Linked DNA regions of Caenorhabditis elegans. The protein of the gene in region 1 interacts with the protein of each later gene in a pairwise test. Each region holds a gene or a part of one and is shown in the gene's direction. Other genes may lie near its edges.

What was found.
Region 2: the proteins of daf-19 (region 1) and ceh-8 interact in a two-hybrid assay, tested with the Caenorhabditis elegans proteins (one large-scale study listed by BioGRID).

Annotation. Positions count from the first base shown.
Region 1 is NC_003280.10:10,165,448-10,172,785, reverse strand, and holds the start of daf-19 (RFX-like transcription factor daf-19), read left to right. Parts: upstream 1-3,440; 5' UTR 3,441-3,464; coding exon 3,465-3,532; intron 3,533-4,523; coding exon 4,524-4,712; intron 4,713-6,478; coding exon 6,479-6,645; intron 6,646-7,338. Other genes in the region: gpd-4 (Glyceraldehyde-3-phosphate dehydrogenase 4), read right to left, coding at 381-450, 499-931, 984-1,506. UniProt on the Caenorhabditis elegans protein: Probable transcription factor. May regulate some genes of ciliated sensory neurons. May activate the expression of the shared components of sensory cilia, but not the cell-type-specific expression.
Region 2 is NC_003279.8:8,243,871-8,254,321, reverse strand, and holds ceh-8 (Homeobox protein ceh-8), read left to right. Parts: upstream 1-3,373; 5' UTR 3,374-3,425; coding exon 3,426-3,477; intron 3,478-4,271; exon of another isoform or gene 4,272-4,305; coding exon of another isoform or gene 4,306-4,351; intron 4,352-4,711; coding exon 4,712-4,974; intron 4,975-7,267; coding exon 7,268-7,365; intron 7,366-7,413; coding exon 7,414-7,542; intron 7,543-7,597; coding exon 7,598-7,706; intron 7,707-8,287; coding exon 8,288-8,467; 3' UTR 8,468-8,817; downstream 8,818-10,451. Other genes in the region: fitm-2 (Acyl-coenzyme A diphosphatase FITM2), read left to right, coding at 1-65, 111-267, 315-500, 577-684; col-63 (Nematode cuticle collagen N-terminal domain-containing protein), read left to right, coding at 9,374-9,440, 9,490-10,451.

The DNA of each region.
Region 1 (7,338 bases):
ATTAAAAAAAAGAAAGATGCTATTATTTTCAAATGAGTGCAAAATTAGCTTTTCTAGACGAAATGTTAATTTTAATCAGAAAAATACGTTTAATTTATTTGGGTGCAAGATCGTCAGAGGCGTCGCGGTTTAGCCCGCAACGCACCACAAAACACTATCAATAGTCCACGTTCGCACCATCAAAATGCGAAGCAACTTTAAATTTAAAGGTTAGGTCTCGAATTCCAATAGACATTCACTTTAGAAGTCATTTCAATCTTTTTCTAAAATCACGACAAAAGTACTAGATTTCACCAGAAAAATAGGTTTATTCAATGATGACTGTAATAAAAAAAATAGCTATGAAATACATGGATTATACATAAAAGATCCTGATAGAATTATCCACGGGTGGCGATGTATCCGATGAGGTCGACAACACGGTTCGAGTATCCATATTCATTGTCGTACCTGTAAAAAATAAATTTAAAATACATTTTTTAAAAATTCAGTGGTTACCAAGAGACGAGCTTGACGAAGTTCGGGTTGAGCGAAATGCATGCTCCAGTATCGAAAATGGACGAGTGAGGGTCGGACACGAAGTCAGTCGACACAACTTGATCTTCGGTGTAGGCGAGGATTCCCTTCATTGGTCCATCGGCAGCGGCCTTGACTACCTTCTTGATGTCATCCATCGAAGCTGGTTTCTCGAGGCGAACGGTCAGATCAACGACGGAAACATCTGGTGTAGGGACACGGAAAGCCATTCCAGTGAGCTTTCCGTTCAGCTCCGGAATGACTTTTCCCACAGCCTTGGCGGCTCCAGTGGAAGCTGGAATGATGTTTTGTCCAGCACCGCGTCCATCTCTCCACAGCTTTCCGGATGGTCCATCGACTGTCTTCTGGGTTGCGGTTACAGCGTGCACTGTCGTCATGAGTCCTTCGATGATACCTGAAAATAAAATAAATTAGAAAAAAACAAATTGATTTGATGATGATCATACCGAAGTTATCATTGATAACCTTCGCCAGTGGTGCCAGACAGTTGGTGGTGCACGATGCGTTAGAAATAACGTGATCATTCGAAGCGTCGTACTTCTCATGGTTTACTCCAACCACGTACATTGGAGCATCAGCAGATGGAGCAGAGATGATGACCTTCTTGGCTCCTCCTTGAAGATGGGCAGAGGCCTTTTCCTTTGTCGTGAAAACTCCAGTAGACTCGACAACGAAATCGGCTTTGACTGATCCCCATGCGATGGCAGCTGGATCCTTGCTGTTGAAGACCTTGATCTTGTGCGATGATTTGCCATCTTTCTGGACAATCAGAAAGTCTCCATCGTAGGTAACAGTTCCTTTGAATTGACCGTGGGTCGAGTCATACTTGAAAAGGTAGACCATGTAGTCGATTGTGATAAACGGATCGTTGACGGCGACCACTTGAACCGTGTCCTTTTCGACAGCCGCGCGGAGCACGAGACGTCCGATTCTTCCGAAACCGTTGATTCCGACGTTGGCTTTCGACATTTTTTTGAGTCTGTAAGAAAACTTGAATGAAATTTTGACGGAAGATTCACAAGAAGTAATAGCTTAAGAAGGAACAAATCTGAATAAAAATGGCGAAAATTCAGATTGAAGCAAAGAGAGCAAAGCAAAATCAACCGCATCGGGAAGAAAAAGAGAATAAATGATGAAAAAGAAATCTAGATTGGTGAACAACTGCAGAAAATTGAAAACTTGCCGCTCGTGCGCGTCTGCAAAGCGCAAAAATATTTTTCATATTCGTTGCGAGACCCGTGGTTTTTAAATTTGGTCATCCCTTTAAAATTGAAAATTCTGGTGGAAAAAAATCAATAATTTTTCTTCAAAAATAAAGAGAAGATCAAAAATTATTGAAAATGAATTTTTATTCCGAAAAATCGAGAATAACACTAAATTTATCAGCTTTTAAGTGTAATCTAGAAATAAAAAAGAAAAACTATGCAAAAACTGAATATAAAAATGTGAAAATAAAATATTTTCGTTTCTTTTCTGAAGAAAAAAATAAATATAATATGCATTGTTTTATATCTATGGATATAAGACAATAATTGTTGATTTTTAGCTATTTTCAACAGGAAAACCGATTTTGTGCCGCTCTCTGATAAACTTGGGTACGGTATGTCTTGAAATCGAAAATTGTAACTCATAGTTTATTACGGGAACACAAAATTCTGAGAATGCATATTATTTACGGGCTCGAATGGATTAAAATAATTTATTTATCTATAGAATACTAAAATTAAGCAAAAAATGAGAAACGAATGAAAAAAGAATGTCGCTGTTCGAAATTAAATTAATTTCATAAATCGAGCCCGTAAATCGACACAAGCGCTACAGTAGTCATTTAAAGAATTACTGTATACAGCTGTAGTTCTCGCTACGAGATATTTAAAGCGTCAAATATGTTGCACAGTACGAATTTTTAGAATTTTGTGTTCCGGTAATATGTAAACTGTATTAATCATCCAGATTAAGAATATTACAATTTATAAAGCAAAAATACAGTATCAGGTCTCGACACGACCTTGAATTTTTAAACGGTTTCTCCAAAAAAGAGTGTACATTTTTAATAAGTAACTACAATAGTTCTTAATTGTCGCGGTTCACAGCTTTCAGTAACAAACTTCCGATCGTTGCAAGACCGTATTCTTGCAACATCTTTGTAGTTTCAAACTTTTAAACATGACTTTGACAGAACATTTCAGAGTTTTTTTGGGATGTCTGATTGTTTTTAACAGGTATGTTTGAAGAAGGAAATTTAATAAAATAAGTAACCTAGGTATATTATATTATTAACTCTCAAACATGTTGAATGTTTCATGTTACTTGAAATACTTGAAATTTGAAAAAAAAACTATTGTGATACTGATACATGTTACGGTATTTATTTTTCAGATTCGCCAGTCTGTGAGGAATATGTCCTAGTTTTCAGCTTCCGTTCCTATGCAAGCGCCGAGCCACCTTCTTCCCAACCTCGGGGGCCCTTAAAGAAATACTTTTAAGAAGGAGAAGCAGGGAAGAAGTGATGTTCCATTGTTGAGAGGGGCCCTAGGCACACACACATATCTCCTTTTCGTCCCATCTCTTCACCCACAACAACACACACACAACTGAGACACACACACTCGCACCACACACACTCACACAGACAGACACTCTCTCACTCACTCACGTACACTCCCCCAGGCAACGAGGAGACACTCCCCGCTGCCGCACATATTTTATCGACGCAGCAACTTAGTTTCGTTCCCCCCTCCCTAACTCTCTCTCTAGGCCACCTTTGCTTTTCTCTAGCTGCTTTTCCGGCTTCATCTCGGCTTCTTTTACAATTTTGGTTTCCATGGAAACTACTTCCAAATTATCCAAGAGACTAAATGCAACATCGTCTGGGTCTCTCTCTGTAAATGTCTAGTTTCAGGGGTGGTGCGGCAGAGAAGAAAGTCATGACCAATGAGGAGCCGGTGCCATCGACGAGCAGTGTGCTCAGTGCAGCCGAGAAAAACGTGAAGATGTGAGTAGTCTATCTGCAAAAATCGGCTGAAAGTCTGTACGACCACCTGTGCGAGAAAAACCCCATATCTTATCATATCAAATTCTCCCATCCCATCACTTTTTTCCCATTATTTCCATTTTCGAGAAAGAGATGAATGACCTTCACACGGTGTCGTCGTTGGGTGGCCATAGGAACATTGAATTGGAGAAAAAAAAGATACAGCAAAAAAAAGTGTGACATGACAAGAAAAAAACTGTTTAAGAAAAAAAAGAAGAAAATTAAGTAAATGAGGAAGGAAGTAGGAAAAATACTTTATTTATCAAAATAAATGTATAATATTTCAAAAAAAAAATCACCGAAACTTACAGTTTTGAAAAATGCGTTTCGTAGAACAACTACTATAGTGCTTAAATGTTCAAAAATTATAGCAAAACTTTTGGTTTTTTTTATTTACAGTCAAAAAAGTGGTGAAAACTTTGTCATAATTTTGAAAATCGACCAAAAAAATCAAAATTTCTACGAGTTTTATATTTTAATTAGAACGTTCTAGAAATTTGAACCGGCATCAATTTCACAATTTCGGAACATTTGGCAATTTACTAACTTCGGAAGGTTTTCAGATTTTTCAAAATTCAAAAAAAAAATCGAAATTTTTGTAGTGTTTAATTAGGATATTTGGCTTTTTTTCTACAAATGTATTTCTTTAGGACATAATTCAGTTTATGCTTAGGCAAGAAGGCTCTAGGTGTATGTGCCTGCCTATCGAAATGTACTGCAATTTTGCGTGAACTCCGGTATTTTCATGTTTTTGATAATGTAGATTTTAATCCGAACTTCTTAAGTTAATTTTCAAATCAATCAATTTATCGAAAGGTCTTTTAAAAATGCGCACAATAGGCTCCAAGCAGGCCTAGGTTTTCTTGAAGGCTGGCAAAGTATATAATCTTGTGAAATATTTTTGAAGCTTTGAAAGTTGTGGTCACTTTAAAACAATAACCAATTTTTTCAGAGAGACTCCTTCAAGGAAGCGAAAAGGACTTGATATTGATGCACTTTGGAGGAAGAAATTTAAAGATGTCGAAAATCAAAAATCACCGGAGAAATCTGAAAAGTCTGAAAAAACGATTAAAGAAGAGCCTCTAGAAACACATCCATCTGGAGAAAGAAAACTTCGATCTGCATCCAAAGATTCAAAATCGTAAGTTTTTTCTTTCAACAACCAACAAATTGACTATCAATGGAGCGTTTTGTAAAATGTGTTTAAAGTTGAGGAACTAACGTTCTCATCTTCACACTTCCTCTCTACTTTGGTTCCTCTCTCTCTTCATCTGCTCCTGGCTTTGCATCTTTTCTCTCTGGAGAATTGGCGAGGGCATAAATTAGCGTAGAGTAGTGGTCGGTTTGTCTATGCTATACTCTCAGACCCAAAACGAAGAGCAAAGTGAGAGAAAGTAGAAAGAAGAGCACAAAGATATGAACAAGAAATTATGAAAAAGATGGTGAAGCACCCGGTGTGTGAACGTGACCAAAAGCGGGAAGTTTTCTGAAAATAAAAACAAATTAGCTGGAATAAAACGACAACGAAAAATAATGAAACGATAAAAGAGTAAGAAAAGGAAATTAAATTTTACATGAAAATGTAGGATTTTCAAAACATTAGTAATATTAAAAAAAAAAAAACTAAAGTATAACATGATTATCAGCTACAGTAACAGATAGAATTTTGAAAACTTGAAATTGAAATATTCCAAACTTTGAAAAAGTGCACAGTTCAAAAGGAGTTGTATGGAAAAATGATTTTAACTGAAGTTTTAATCAAAAACTGAAACAGATCGATTTGAGTTTAAAAAATTTACTATAGCTGCATACAAGCATATTGAAACATATAAAGTCTGTCTGAAAGTTTTCAGACAATTATTTAATTTAAGTAAATGAAATTGGTTGAGAAAATGAAGTTTTATTTTTGTTCAGAAAAGCTTCAATGATATTTTAAAGATACGAGAACGATTTTAAAATATTCCCAGAATTCTTAATTTTTTTATAATTTAAAAAATCAATGAAATTTTTTAAAAACAATTCTCTGAAAGAACAGAAAACTTATTTAGGACTATGATTTTATTTCCGAATGTTTGAAGTACCAGAATTACCACAAAATATAATTGAAGTTTCCTATTTTTTAAAAGAAAAATCTGATCACATCGCTTGATGGAAAATGATTTTGGATAAGATTAGAAATGTGATCTTTAATTAGAAAAATCCACAAAATAATGTGTCGGAAAAAAAAAACAAATGCAGATGAATAAAAACAGAACTTGAAGGTTAAAGGGAAAAATTCCAATTTTTTTAATTTGCAGTCAAAACTTGAGATTAAAAAACTCAGTTTTTGCCAATCATAATTTTGGAAATCGACAAAAAATTGTTTCCGTAAATTTGGTAATTTGCTAAATATTAGGCTGTAAATGCTCCAAAATTAAATAAAAATTCGGGGGTGTCAGCTCAAGAAAAGTCAGTTCAAGATGATTAGATGCTGCAAGTTTTCGATTGGCTTGCAGGGGGTGCAACTTTAATAGAGGGAATTCGGTATTCCGAATTAGTAATAGTGAAATTGAAAATTGAGAAAAACTCACATTAAAGGTAAATTAGAAGAAGCACGAGTTCTTTCTAAATTCCAAAATATCTCGTGAACTCGTGCCAATTAAGAGGAGAACTAGTGGCGGGTGGAGTGGTGTGCTTGTCGGCTTGGAGTGGGTGGAGTGATAACAGAAGCCCGATTCGGAGTCCCTTTCTGCGTTTCCATGGATACGGGGAATAATGAAAACCTCGCATCCGCTTCCCCCCACTTTTGTCATCTCATACTACTACTATTTAGTTTATTTGTTAATTTTTCATATCCCATGTCTTTTCGACATGCTAAAATTCAAATCCTAGAGTCAAATTTAATGCACAAGTAGTTCAAATTTTCAGATTATCAAAAGAAACTCACAATACAATAAGCACAAGGTCTTCTTCGTCTGGAACACCTCGTAAGAAAATGGAGCCTGAAGATGTGAAGCCAAATATCAAGATGCTCAAGAAATCATTGCCAGTCTCATTTCAATGTTCTAACCTAAATGATGGTACCGTGGGAGATGGTGAGTTTCAATCAACCACCTGTTGGCATTGCCAGAAATGATGAGGCCAGCTCGCGCAGATTCTTGACTAATTAGTTTTCGACGCAGTATACCCGTAAAATTTAAAAGAAAATAAATATGAGATAACGGACGGATAGATAATCAAAGGTGTGGTGGCGAGTCTAGAGGAAGTAAGAGAACCTAGAGATATGATAATAGCACAGCTTCATGCACATACCCACATATGGCTCCTTTTGCTGCTCTCACGCTCACTTCTTTTCTCTGTTAAATCGCAGAATACGAAGAACCATTTGTGTGAGGTTTTGTCTACCCCATTTGTACTACGAACTATCTGAATATGTCAGTTTATCTACTCGGTGAAAAAGATTACGAAGAAGAAGTCGAAGTGGAAAACGAGAATAGTAGAGAAAGTGACTTTACTGGAGAATTTTTAAGTGTTCTGCCAATGGAAATTGGGCTTGACCAAGGTAGGATTCTTATTTGATCTAGGAAACTTCTAATACAAAATTTTGAAAAATTATTGCTTTTCTATTCCGGCTCTCTTTGGGCTTATCAAAAAACTTTCAATTAACAAAACACTTGAAAAATATTTCTCTATTTTTTAATAAATGACCAATTTTTGATAACACTAAAGAAAGCGGATATACATCTAAGGCGTAAAGGTAAAGCATTGAAGGTTCAATTCTAATAAGA
Region 2 (10,451 bases), on another chromosome or scaffold:
CAACCAATCGTTGATGTGTGCCGTCTTGGAGTGGGAACCGCGTGTTGGTACTTTTCTGTGCAATTGTAAGCTTTATGCAATAATTCTTACTTAAACGAAAAAGTTTTCAGTTTCCACAAAGTTCTTGCACTAACCTCAATGTGTGACAAAGGACGTACTCTGACTCGTGCTCAGTGTTCCGAAAAAGAAGGTGTCTGGACGCCAGGATATGATATTTCAGGTCACTGCTTCTTGATGATCTACAGTATTCTGATTATCACTGAGGAGGTATAAAGAAAAAAAGGTTTCAGAAAACAATATGGGAATGTTTACAGGCGATTGCTTACCGTCATTATCAACAAGTAACTGATGCAGTTCATCAAATGGACGGTGATCGTGAAGAACATGATCGTTTGACTCGATGCATTCAATATTTCTTCGTCGCAATGTTGTTCCTTCATGCATTCTGGTTCAAGCAAATTATCATCTCCGTTCTTTATTATCATATCTTCATTGAAGAGGTAATCATATTTTGCATCTCAGAATAACAATTTGTATTCTTCAAAAATTTAATTACTCAATTTCCCTATTTTTCAGATTCTCGGAGCTGTGGCCGCTGTCGTTTGCTGGTTTGTGACCTACCGCATGCTCTATCCAGCCGGATTCTTGGCCTCCCCAATTCGCCGGACTGTGGGCAGAAAATAAATATTATCAATGTGAATATTTTCAAAATTCTAGTCCTCCTTTTGTGTGTTAATTAAAATCCTGAAATTTAAACTTTTTGTAAAATCGTCTTACATCCCCTCTATTGCCTCGTTTACTGGTTTCTCCTTTAATTAAGTAACTGTTAATGTTCTGTTTTTGTTTTATTTATATAAATTCATTATCATATATTTAAGTCTTATTCATAAAATTTACACGCGATCATTGGGTAGCAAGGCTTTTATCAGTAAATACGCGTTGTCGACCTTAAAACTGTTGAATCAATGAGAAACAAAAATTCAAGAAAATTACAAATTCACACGATATTTCAATAATTTACAGTAATCCATTTTCACTTCAATTGAATTTCTTGTTGTGTTCATACTTTCACTTTGATTCTCCCATTCAATTTCATAATTGGCTCCCCGAAGCAATATTTTTCATATCTCTGTGAAATAAATGATCTCGACACGACCGAATTATTTTAAATGAAAAAGAGTGTGCGCCTTTAAAGTGTACAGTACTTTTCTTCGACTTTTTTTTAAAATTTAAACACTTGCTATTTAATGTGAATAACAGAAGTTAGACGTTTTGAAATAGAAAACGAGAAAAATCTAAAAATTGGGAAATAGCGAAGTGGGAAAACTACTGTACACCTTAAAGGCGCACAATCGTTTTAATTTAAAATTGTTCGATCGTGTCGAGACCGGGTACCGTATTTTCGTTCCGTAAACGCAACAAAGATAACGGTCCCACTAAATAACTAACCCAATCGAAATGTTTTTGTGTAGCTTGACCACATTATCGTCGAGATCATGTGTGAAAATTATGAAAGTAATGCATCTATAGTGATATTTGGTGGGGTTTTAATTATCCAGGGAGTATACGGAAGGTAGGTTTCGGAGTTTATGATAAACAAATGTAAAAGTCACGAGTTCAGAGATACGAGGTTTTTGCAACAACCCGATGGAGATCGAGGCCAGCAATCTAATATTTTAAAACAAGAAGTACTTAAAAAGATGATAAAATAAGGCAAAAAATTAATTTCTGGAATTCGTGGACAGTGTTAGATACTGTAATAACTCTTCTTCCAATCAAGCACAGAATATCCCTTCAAGAACGCATCGCAGTCTATGTGTAAGTTAAAAATTAAAAAAATATACGATACAATATTAAAAAGAACAAAGATGAATACTTTAAAAAACCGAAGTAAAGCATGGTCACCAGACCTAGGTCCTTAGGCTTAGTTGCTTAGCTGCTAATTCGATACGATAGGTTACATGAAAATTGATCTATATGATGGATTATATATACAGGGTGCGATTAACGTTTTGAATTTTCAAAATATCCCCATCCGCATCGCTGCAGGACCTCAGAACTTTTGAGATCTCAATTTTTTGGCACGCAAGTAGGCACTCTGCGGGATTTCTACACTTTTTCTCGAGGAATCCACAAGTGTCTTACAAGTTTTTATAGTTCAAAGAATGCTCTTGGTCTAGAGATTCCTAAAAAACAAAAATCCAAAAAAGTTCTGTCATGGTATGACTGTGGCAGTACTTTGAATGACAAAGACGCCTTGAATGATACAGTCGCCAGAAAGGTGGATGTGGGCGGCGGCAGCAGTATCCAAGAAAATTAATTTTAGTACTTTTCGACACGTTTTGATCTGACTTTCAAGAATTTTTATAGAAGATTGAGCTCGGATGATTTTGTGAGTCGTTACACCTTGTGAAGACAAAAAAAAACTGAGTAAATTTCGCAAAGTTGATTTCATGAAATATTCAAAGGTTCTTGCTAGGCGCCAGTGTCGACACATAAAATTTTTATATGCTACGAAAACAATCAAAAACGCTTCTTAACTTTTTAAACTTTGGATTTAACATGAAAATCATACATCTGAAAATTATTGGCGTCCGTCGGAGGTGCGTTTGTGTTGGAGGTGCCGCGTGCCAAAACACCGTTTCGGCGACAGGGATCGTCAAATTGCCGAGGCGATAAAGATTGCACCTTATTGGGAAACATTACAAATTTTAGGTCAAATTGAAGGAAATTTATTCAGCTATCAGTATTCTATAGAAAATTGTACGTGTGAAGTGGCAGTCGCGCGAAAAAACCCATTTAAAAGAGCGCTTCACGTGTTACCATACTTTTGGCGCACCCTATATATATATATATATATATACATTTGGCCTACGGGACATTTTTCAACTGAGCAAAAGGTGTTGTACGGTTACATAAATGCCTCTAAGAGACGCTGTGTTTTATTACAATTGGGAAAAAATATCACGTAGGTTGTAAGCTGTTTAGTATAAAATGTTGCAAGCATAGCAACTTATTTAATGTAGAAAAACTTTTATGGTTTGCAATTTGACCAATTTTTGATAAATCCCTACTTCAAAAGACACTTAACCAGCTAGAAACGTTTTTCCCGATATGCTGAACATGTGCCAAAACGCATACTGTATTTATTTAAGCATTGAATTCCCTTGAACATAAAGCATGCGACCTGATTGAGGAAGGAGCACGAAATATAAATTTTATGATGACAATTTATGGTTTCCTCCCGATATTCCAGCTTGTTCCCTTTGCTGCTTCCCATCACACAGTTCTTCTTTAGATTTCTTTTATTGGATGGCTCCTCCCCTCGCTCCAAAATATTCCCCCCTAGAAAACTGGAGTCAATCTCCTCCCCAATATATTCTGCCACCCTGCTGCCCTCAATTTTTCCTGTCCTGTCATCCGGGATGAGCAATCCAACTGACAACAACTCTGCCACGTCATCGATAACACCAAATTGTGAGTTTTTGATGTTTGAAGTCTCTACAAATTTGGTAATTCAATTCACCTATTTTGTCAAATTATATCCAAATTATTTCCAAATTCGATTTGCGAGCTTTTTTGGGGCTCCACCTCCACCCCCTCTAATTGAATGGAATTTTAGTTGTTTTTTTTTCGTTTGAAAATTGGAGATTATTCATATGCTTGATTTGTCGGATATGTTCAAGAACGTTTGATTTAATTTCAAAATTTAAAAAAAAATCAAAATCTCTGTTTTTTAGATTAATGAGAAATGTTAATGAGAAATCTAGATTCGAATTTAACTGTGAAAGAGTATTAAAACTTTGTCCGTCGGGGTTCCCAACAAGCATTTTTCTTGAAATTTTAATACATCATGCAGTAGAACCTTAACGCCACATTGCAAAACACGAGCTTAAAGGTTACGTTTTCACTTTTTTTTCACTTTTCAGGGATGCATGTTTGAACTGATACTTTTAAAGTATTATCAGCATCTCAAGCTAGATCAATCAAATCTAATTTTCTTTCTCGCTCTCAAATTTCTTAAACTAAAATACTATAAAATACTCCAAGTTTTTCAATCAAAATAGTAAACTTTAACTGATATGAAGTCTTGTCAACACAACCTACCAACGCTAACAAAAGTTCTCTAATAAAATGAGTAATCCCCAAATGACCTCGAGAAGCTGCTGGAAGAAAAGTCATGTGAAAAGCATACGTTTCTTTTCCAAGGCTATCAGGTGAGATATGCGCCAAAATACGCATTCTCATTTTACATTTCTAAACAACAAATCTGAATTAAAAACATATTAGGTATTTATTTCTTTAATGAACATTCCAAAGGGATTTTATTATCCTGGATTTTGGACTGATGGTAACGATTCTTATTACTTATCAGAATAAATATCACCCAGATTCTAAATTTTGCCAGAAGAATGCGGTACACGGTCTCGATACGACCGATTTAAGCCCAAAATTTCCGGCAATCGTACCGGATTTTCTGGCAGTTTTCAGTACTGTAGTTCCCAACTCCTCGTCGTTGCGGATTAAAAAACTGACATTGAAAATGCGATTATCCGTTTCTAGAGAAAATTCTTCCGTAAAAAAGCACATAAACCCTTTTATTCGAAATTAAACCATTCATACAATAAGCCATCGTAAATTTCAGAAATCAAATGTTTCTCGAAAGCAATTATTCAACTTTTTCCTAAACTCATCTCATTTTTTTTTTCAGTTTCGGCGTTTTCCTCATTTACAACATACAAACCATCCGACTCATTTTCTTCATTTGAATCTGATTCTTCTCCATCAAAATCATCATCATCACGAAAGAATCGAGATAAGATAGCAGACAAGAAGCAACGTAGAAATCGTACAACATTCACGACATTTCAACTTCATGCTCTTGAAGCTGCATTTGATAAAACTCATTATCCAGATGTTTATGCAAGAGAAACATTGGCTGCTAAAGTTCAATTGCCAGAGGTTCGAGTTCAGGTGAGAACATATTTTTTATCTGAGAGTAGAGCAGCGAAAAATATTGAAATTTTATTATTTACTGTTAAATTAAAAACAGAATTTAATCAGTTTTCACATATCAATTTTTTAAGTTTACCAGAATAACCAACACAATTTTTTTGCAATGTACCAAAACTAGACTGACTATTTTGGCAAATCTAAAATTTCCATTTTGAGAATATTTTGGCATTCCGTCTTCAATATGAAATTTTAAAAAATTATATTGTAACATATGAATCAGTTCTGGTAAATCGCAAAAAAACGGAGGTTTCCTTGAATCTGAAAATTTACGGGTCACCAAGAACTTATTATTTTTACAATAGTGCCTCTTTGTTTTAGAACATCTTTTGCTTTAACTTTTTGCTGAAATAAAACTTATTTTTTTTTTTTAAATAGTATATATTATTCACAAGAGTAAAACTGAAAATTCACGGTCGACTAGCCAGTGTTGTTCAATATGAAAATGACTGCAGTGGAAGCTCTTGTTGTTTTTTTGGAGATTCGACTTTATTCGAAAAGCGAGAATTTGAATTGCTATCTAATAAATGGGGGGGGGGGGGGGGTTATAGAGATTAACAATTTATATTGTCAAATTTGATATTTTTTGTAATTCTCAAAATTAACAGAAAATTTGAAATACTCTGCGATTTGGTAATTAAAACATTTTCAAATTTGGATACGGTAATGTTCAATTTCGAATTTTTTTTAGTTTACGAAAAAATTTATCCAGCGTAGTAAAAGATTAACATATACATGGCACAAAAGTGAATTCACATATTTTCATTCTTTAATATAATTATGAATATAACTCCACTCGAGAGCTCATGACAATTAAAATTCGAACTATTTGCTCTTGTCCATGACCCTACTTGTCCTTTTTCCATGCAGCTGTGAAAACTGATCTCATCCGGAACAATTAGTAGTGTTAAATTGGCAGGTTAGCACTCCTGTCACACTTCCTTATGCTCTTCTGATTTTTGAGTCAAAAGGGGGACAAACAATAAACAGTAGAAGAAGAAGAAGAAGATAAGCATCTGACTAATCGACATTGTCTTCTCAAATTTCTTTTTCTTTTCCGTCACTTACATCCTACCAATTTAAGGATTACCTCGCCGAGTCTCGACACATTGTTGTCATACAAGGAAAAATATGGATGCTGGGGAGTGAAGAAGTACATTACGATGGACTTTGAAAAAATGAAAATGAAGTTCTATTTGTAAATTGGGGGGGGGGGGGGGGTGGTTATAGATTAACAATTTATATTATGAAATTTGACAATGCTCCGAAAAAATATTTTTAGACAATTCATTTAACGTATATTCTCTATAAGATATAATGATCTATAAAACACATGAAAATCATTAGATTTTTCAATATTTTCAGTCAAACAATCGGAGCTTTTTGAGTAACTTTGAGAAATAAAAAATCGGATTTCTGTTGGTTTTTCCTTTATTTCTAATTCGGTATACTTGGTGTAATTTTCCGGCGGACTGAGTTTCCCGTAAAAAGAGCGAGCGTTCATCAAGACAGTTTACACATTCTTGATGGGATTACTGTAGGTGGTGGATAAAGAAAGATGTTAGGAGGAACAAGAGAAGAAAGTAAAAACATGGCACTTTAATGGACAAGATGGGGCAAAGGGAGCATAGAGATTGACAACTTACTAATTGGTATACGGTAGATGAGGGAAATAGTGGCGGAGAAGTCGAATGGGAAAATAATAAATTGGGGAGGAACTTTATTTTAAATCAGATATTCAAAATCTACATTTGAAATTTAAGTTTTGAAAATTGAAGCCTTTGGTTTTCTAATGGATGGTGCAACTAATGGATGGTGTAACAAACTTATCATAAATGTTGCGTAAGTATGTAAGTCGCCTAGAAAATATTTTTATAAAGAATTGGCAATGGTCGGGAAGTTTACGTTAGAATTTTTGAAGCTTGAAAAAACGAAACTCTCAAACCTCCCACCTGGACGTGATTTTTTTCCACTGTAATTTCTTCCAGAGTGCAGATGGTAAAATTTTGTCAACAAAAAAAATTGTAGAAAAAATTATGGGAAACATTTGTTTAGTTAAAATCTTTTTGCGAGCTACTGTAGTTTTCGAGTTATACTTATTTGAAAAACAACAAAAAATCATCGCAAAATCAGAAACGAATATTATATTTTAAAAAATTGGGTCAATTGTTATAAACGTTAGGTAACTTTTATGTTCTGACTTTTCTGTAAATGTCCTATTCAATTCTAAATGTTTTACTTTCTTCTGTTTCAGGTATGGTTCCAAAACCGCCGAGCTAAATTTCGCCGTCAAGAGAAGCAGGATTGTCAAGGAGAGGAGAAGCATTCACTGAAAGATACAATGCCATCTTGGTTCGCTTCTTATGATAAATGCCCGTCTAATAGAGTTATCACATTTAGGTCATGGATGAGTGAGAATAAGACAGATACACCGCCAATGCTTCCTCCAGCAAATACACTTTCATCAACTCATAACAATGGAATTTCCGATGAATTCTTCAAGACTTCCGAGGGAAAAGAAGTTTATGGGTTTGTTTAAAAAAGTTTAATTTCTAGATTAAAATCAATATAAATTGGTTTTCAGGTTTCCATTCGCTGAATATGGGACTCCGGCGGACAACACGCACGTCAGCAAAACTGGAAACGTTTTTCATTTGAATTTCGAAGACAGTGATAAGAAATCAATGAAAAAAGTATGTTTCTAGTAAATAAAAAGCTTACGACTCGCCTAGAAAGTGAAGGAAATTCAGTGAAGAAAAAATATTTTTTTAAAAATTCAAGAAAACGGCTGTACGCCTTTAAGAGTACTGTAATTTAAAGCTTTCGTTGTTGCGGAATATTCGTGGATTTTTCATTCGAAAAATCATTCTTACGACTTGTTATTACGGGAACAATAAATCATGAGAATGCGTACTCGGTGCATTTTATTTGACGCTAAGAGATATCGCGCGTCAAATAAAATGCACCAAGTACGCATTCTCATGATTTATTGTTCCCGTAATAGTTTTTAATTAAAAAATTATTAATGAAAAAGGATGAAAATTTAATTAAAATGCTACAGAAACGATAGTTTGATATTACAGTACTCCTTAAAGGCACACACATGTATATATTTAACAAAAAAGCGACGCGCCGACACCAAGTACCGTATTTTTGGCTTAAAAATATCGAATTTTCGCGTCTGAATAAGCTTAATGTTTATTTTTCTGTAAAATTACTGAATGTGTATAAAATTGACCATGAATTTTTCAAATTGAACGCGTAAAAATTCCAGGAATCGCCTCAAACACCATCGACAAGTAGTCCATTCATTTCGGAATATCATCCACCATTTATCCCTTATTATATTCCAAATCAATCATTTTCCAATGCATTTAATCAATATCCAATGCCATTCCCCTATCCAATTCACTTTGAGCCACCACAACTTACTCATAGTCAGGAAAATTGTTGATTTTATATGGAAAACTATTACGAATGTTAGATTTTACTCATGTTTTTTTTTAATCTACTGATTTTATGATTTTTTCTTCAAATATCCCCCATTTCTTCAATCTTCCTTCGGCACAATAAACAGAAGTTTCCAAGGGGGCGGCGCACACCTAACACATTTTAGAGTGGCGCGCGAAACCCGTGATATGTCGGAGGCCGCAGCAACTATCGTCTAGCAGCCGGCTGTCTCATTTATTGCAGACCGGTGATGAAACTGTTCTAGGAAGTGCCGTCTTAGAAACAATGATTATGAATTGGACGCTGAGGTCACTGCAACTAAATTAATTAAAGATTGAGTATGAATTCAGAGAAGTTAATTTAACAAAGATTAGAGCTATGTTTTATTGTTTTGCTGAAAAGTTACAGATAAATCGAAGAGCAAGAAGTTTCTGAAGTATTTTCTCATGATTCAGCCAGATTATCTGTATCAGTTTGTTCTTACAATTGGAGCATCGCCACCAATGAGTTTTCAGAAATAATTTTCTAAAACATGATGAGCTTGTCATGTTATGCAAGGGAAGAAGATTGTAGCATTACAGTTCGTCGAAACGTACATTTACCTTCATGAAAGTTATGAAAACTCTGAATGGTTAAAATACAAATATAACAAATAATATTCAAACCACAAGAAGAAAAATCATTAATTTCTTGAAATTCTAAGCCACATACACCCATCGGTTATTGCTATGTGAAATAACACTCGATAAAGGGAAGGTGTATCGCCGAAAAATTGAGAAAAAAGTAGACGGATAGGGGATCCTTTCCAAGCGAAAAACTGGCTATTATGCAACACGCAGATCTACTTTTTTTGAGCTTTTTGGATACGTATATAATGGCAACGATTTTTACGAATAGACATCATCCAACGATGACAACATCTGGACAATTGGTTGCTGGTACTGCCGTTGCACTCTGCGGAGTTGCTATTGTTCCAGGTAAATTCATTTTTAAGTCATTCTGCTCACGAAATGTCTCAATTTTCAGCTATTTTTGCCGCACTGTTTGTCCTTCACGACATTAATTCCTTCCAATCAGGAGTATATGAGGATCTTGCTGAATTCAAAACTCTTGCTGAAGATGCTTGGACTACAATGGTTCCACGTGAAGATGCTGTTCAACCATTCGAGACCTTCCTTAAAAGATTCAGAAGAGGATATGGAGATGCTGGAGTTGCTGGATCTGCATCCGGTTCTTCTGGTTGCAATTGTGGACCACAACCAAAGGATTGTCCAGCTGGACCACCAGGACCACCAGGAAATCCTGGAACCCCAGGAGATGATGGACCAGCTGGAAGAGCTGGAAATCCAGGAAGTGACTCAACTGAAGGGGATCGTATGGCTGACTTCAATAAGGATGTGAAGTGCCCAGCTGGACCACCAGGACCACCAGGACCAAATGGATTCCCAGGACATCCAGGACCAGATGGAGATTTTGGAGTTGATGGAACAAATGGAAAAGATGGAGAACCAGGACCAGATGGACCAGAAGGAGATGAAGGAACTCCAGGACTTCCAGGACCACCAGGAGAGGACGGACCAGTTGGACAGAACGGAACTCGTGGACAAGGACAACCAGGACCAGTTGGTGCACCAGGAGCTCCAGGAGGACCAGGAAGAGATGGAGAACCAGGAGAGAATGGACAAGATGGACAACAAGGACCAGAAGGGCCAGCTGGAGCTGATGGACAACCAGGACATCCAGGACCAGACGGACCATCAGGGGATGTTGGAGAGGTTGGAGCTCCAGGAGCTGATGCTGCCTATTGTCCATGTCCACCAAGATCCGCTGAGATGGCTGCAACTGGATCATCCGACTCCCAACCAGCGTCTTATGAAGCTCCAGCTCCAGCAGCAACAAAGGGATATGATTCTCCAGCTCCAGCAGCACCAAAGGGATATGATGCTCCAGCTCCAACTGCTCCACATCCACCACCACCAGCTCCAGTT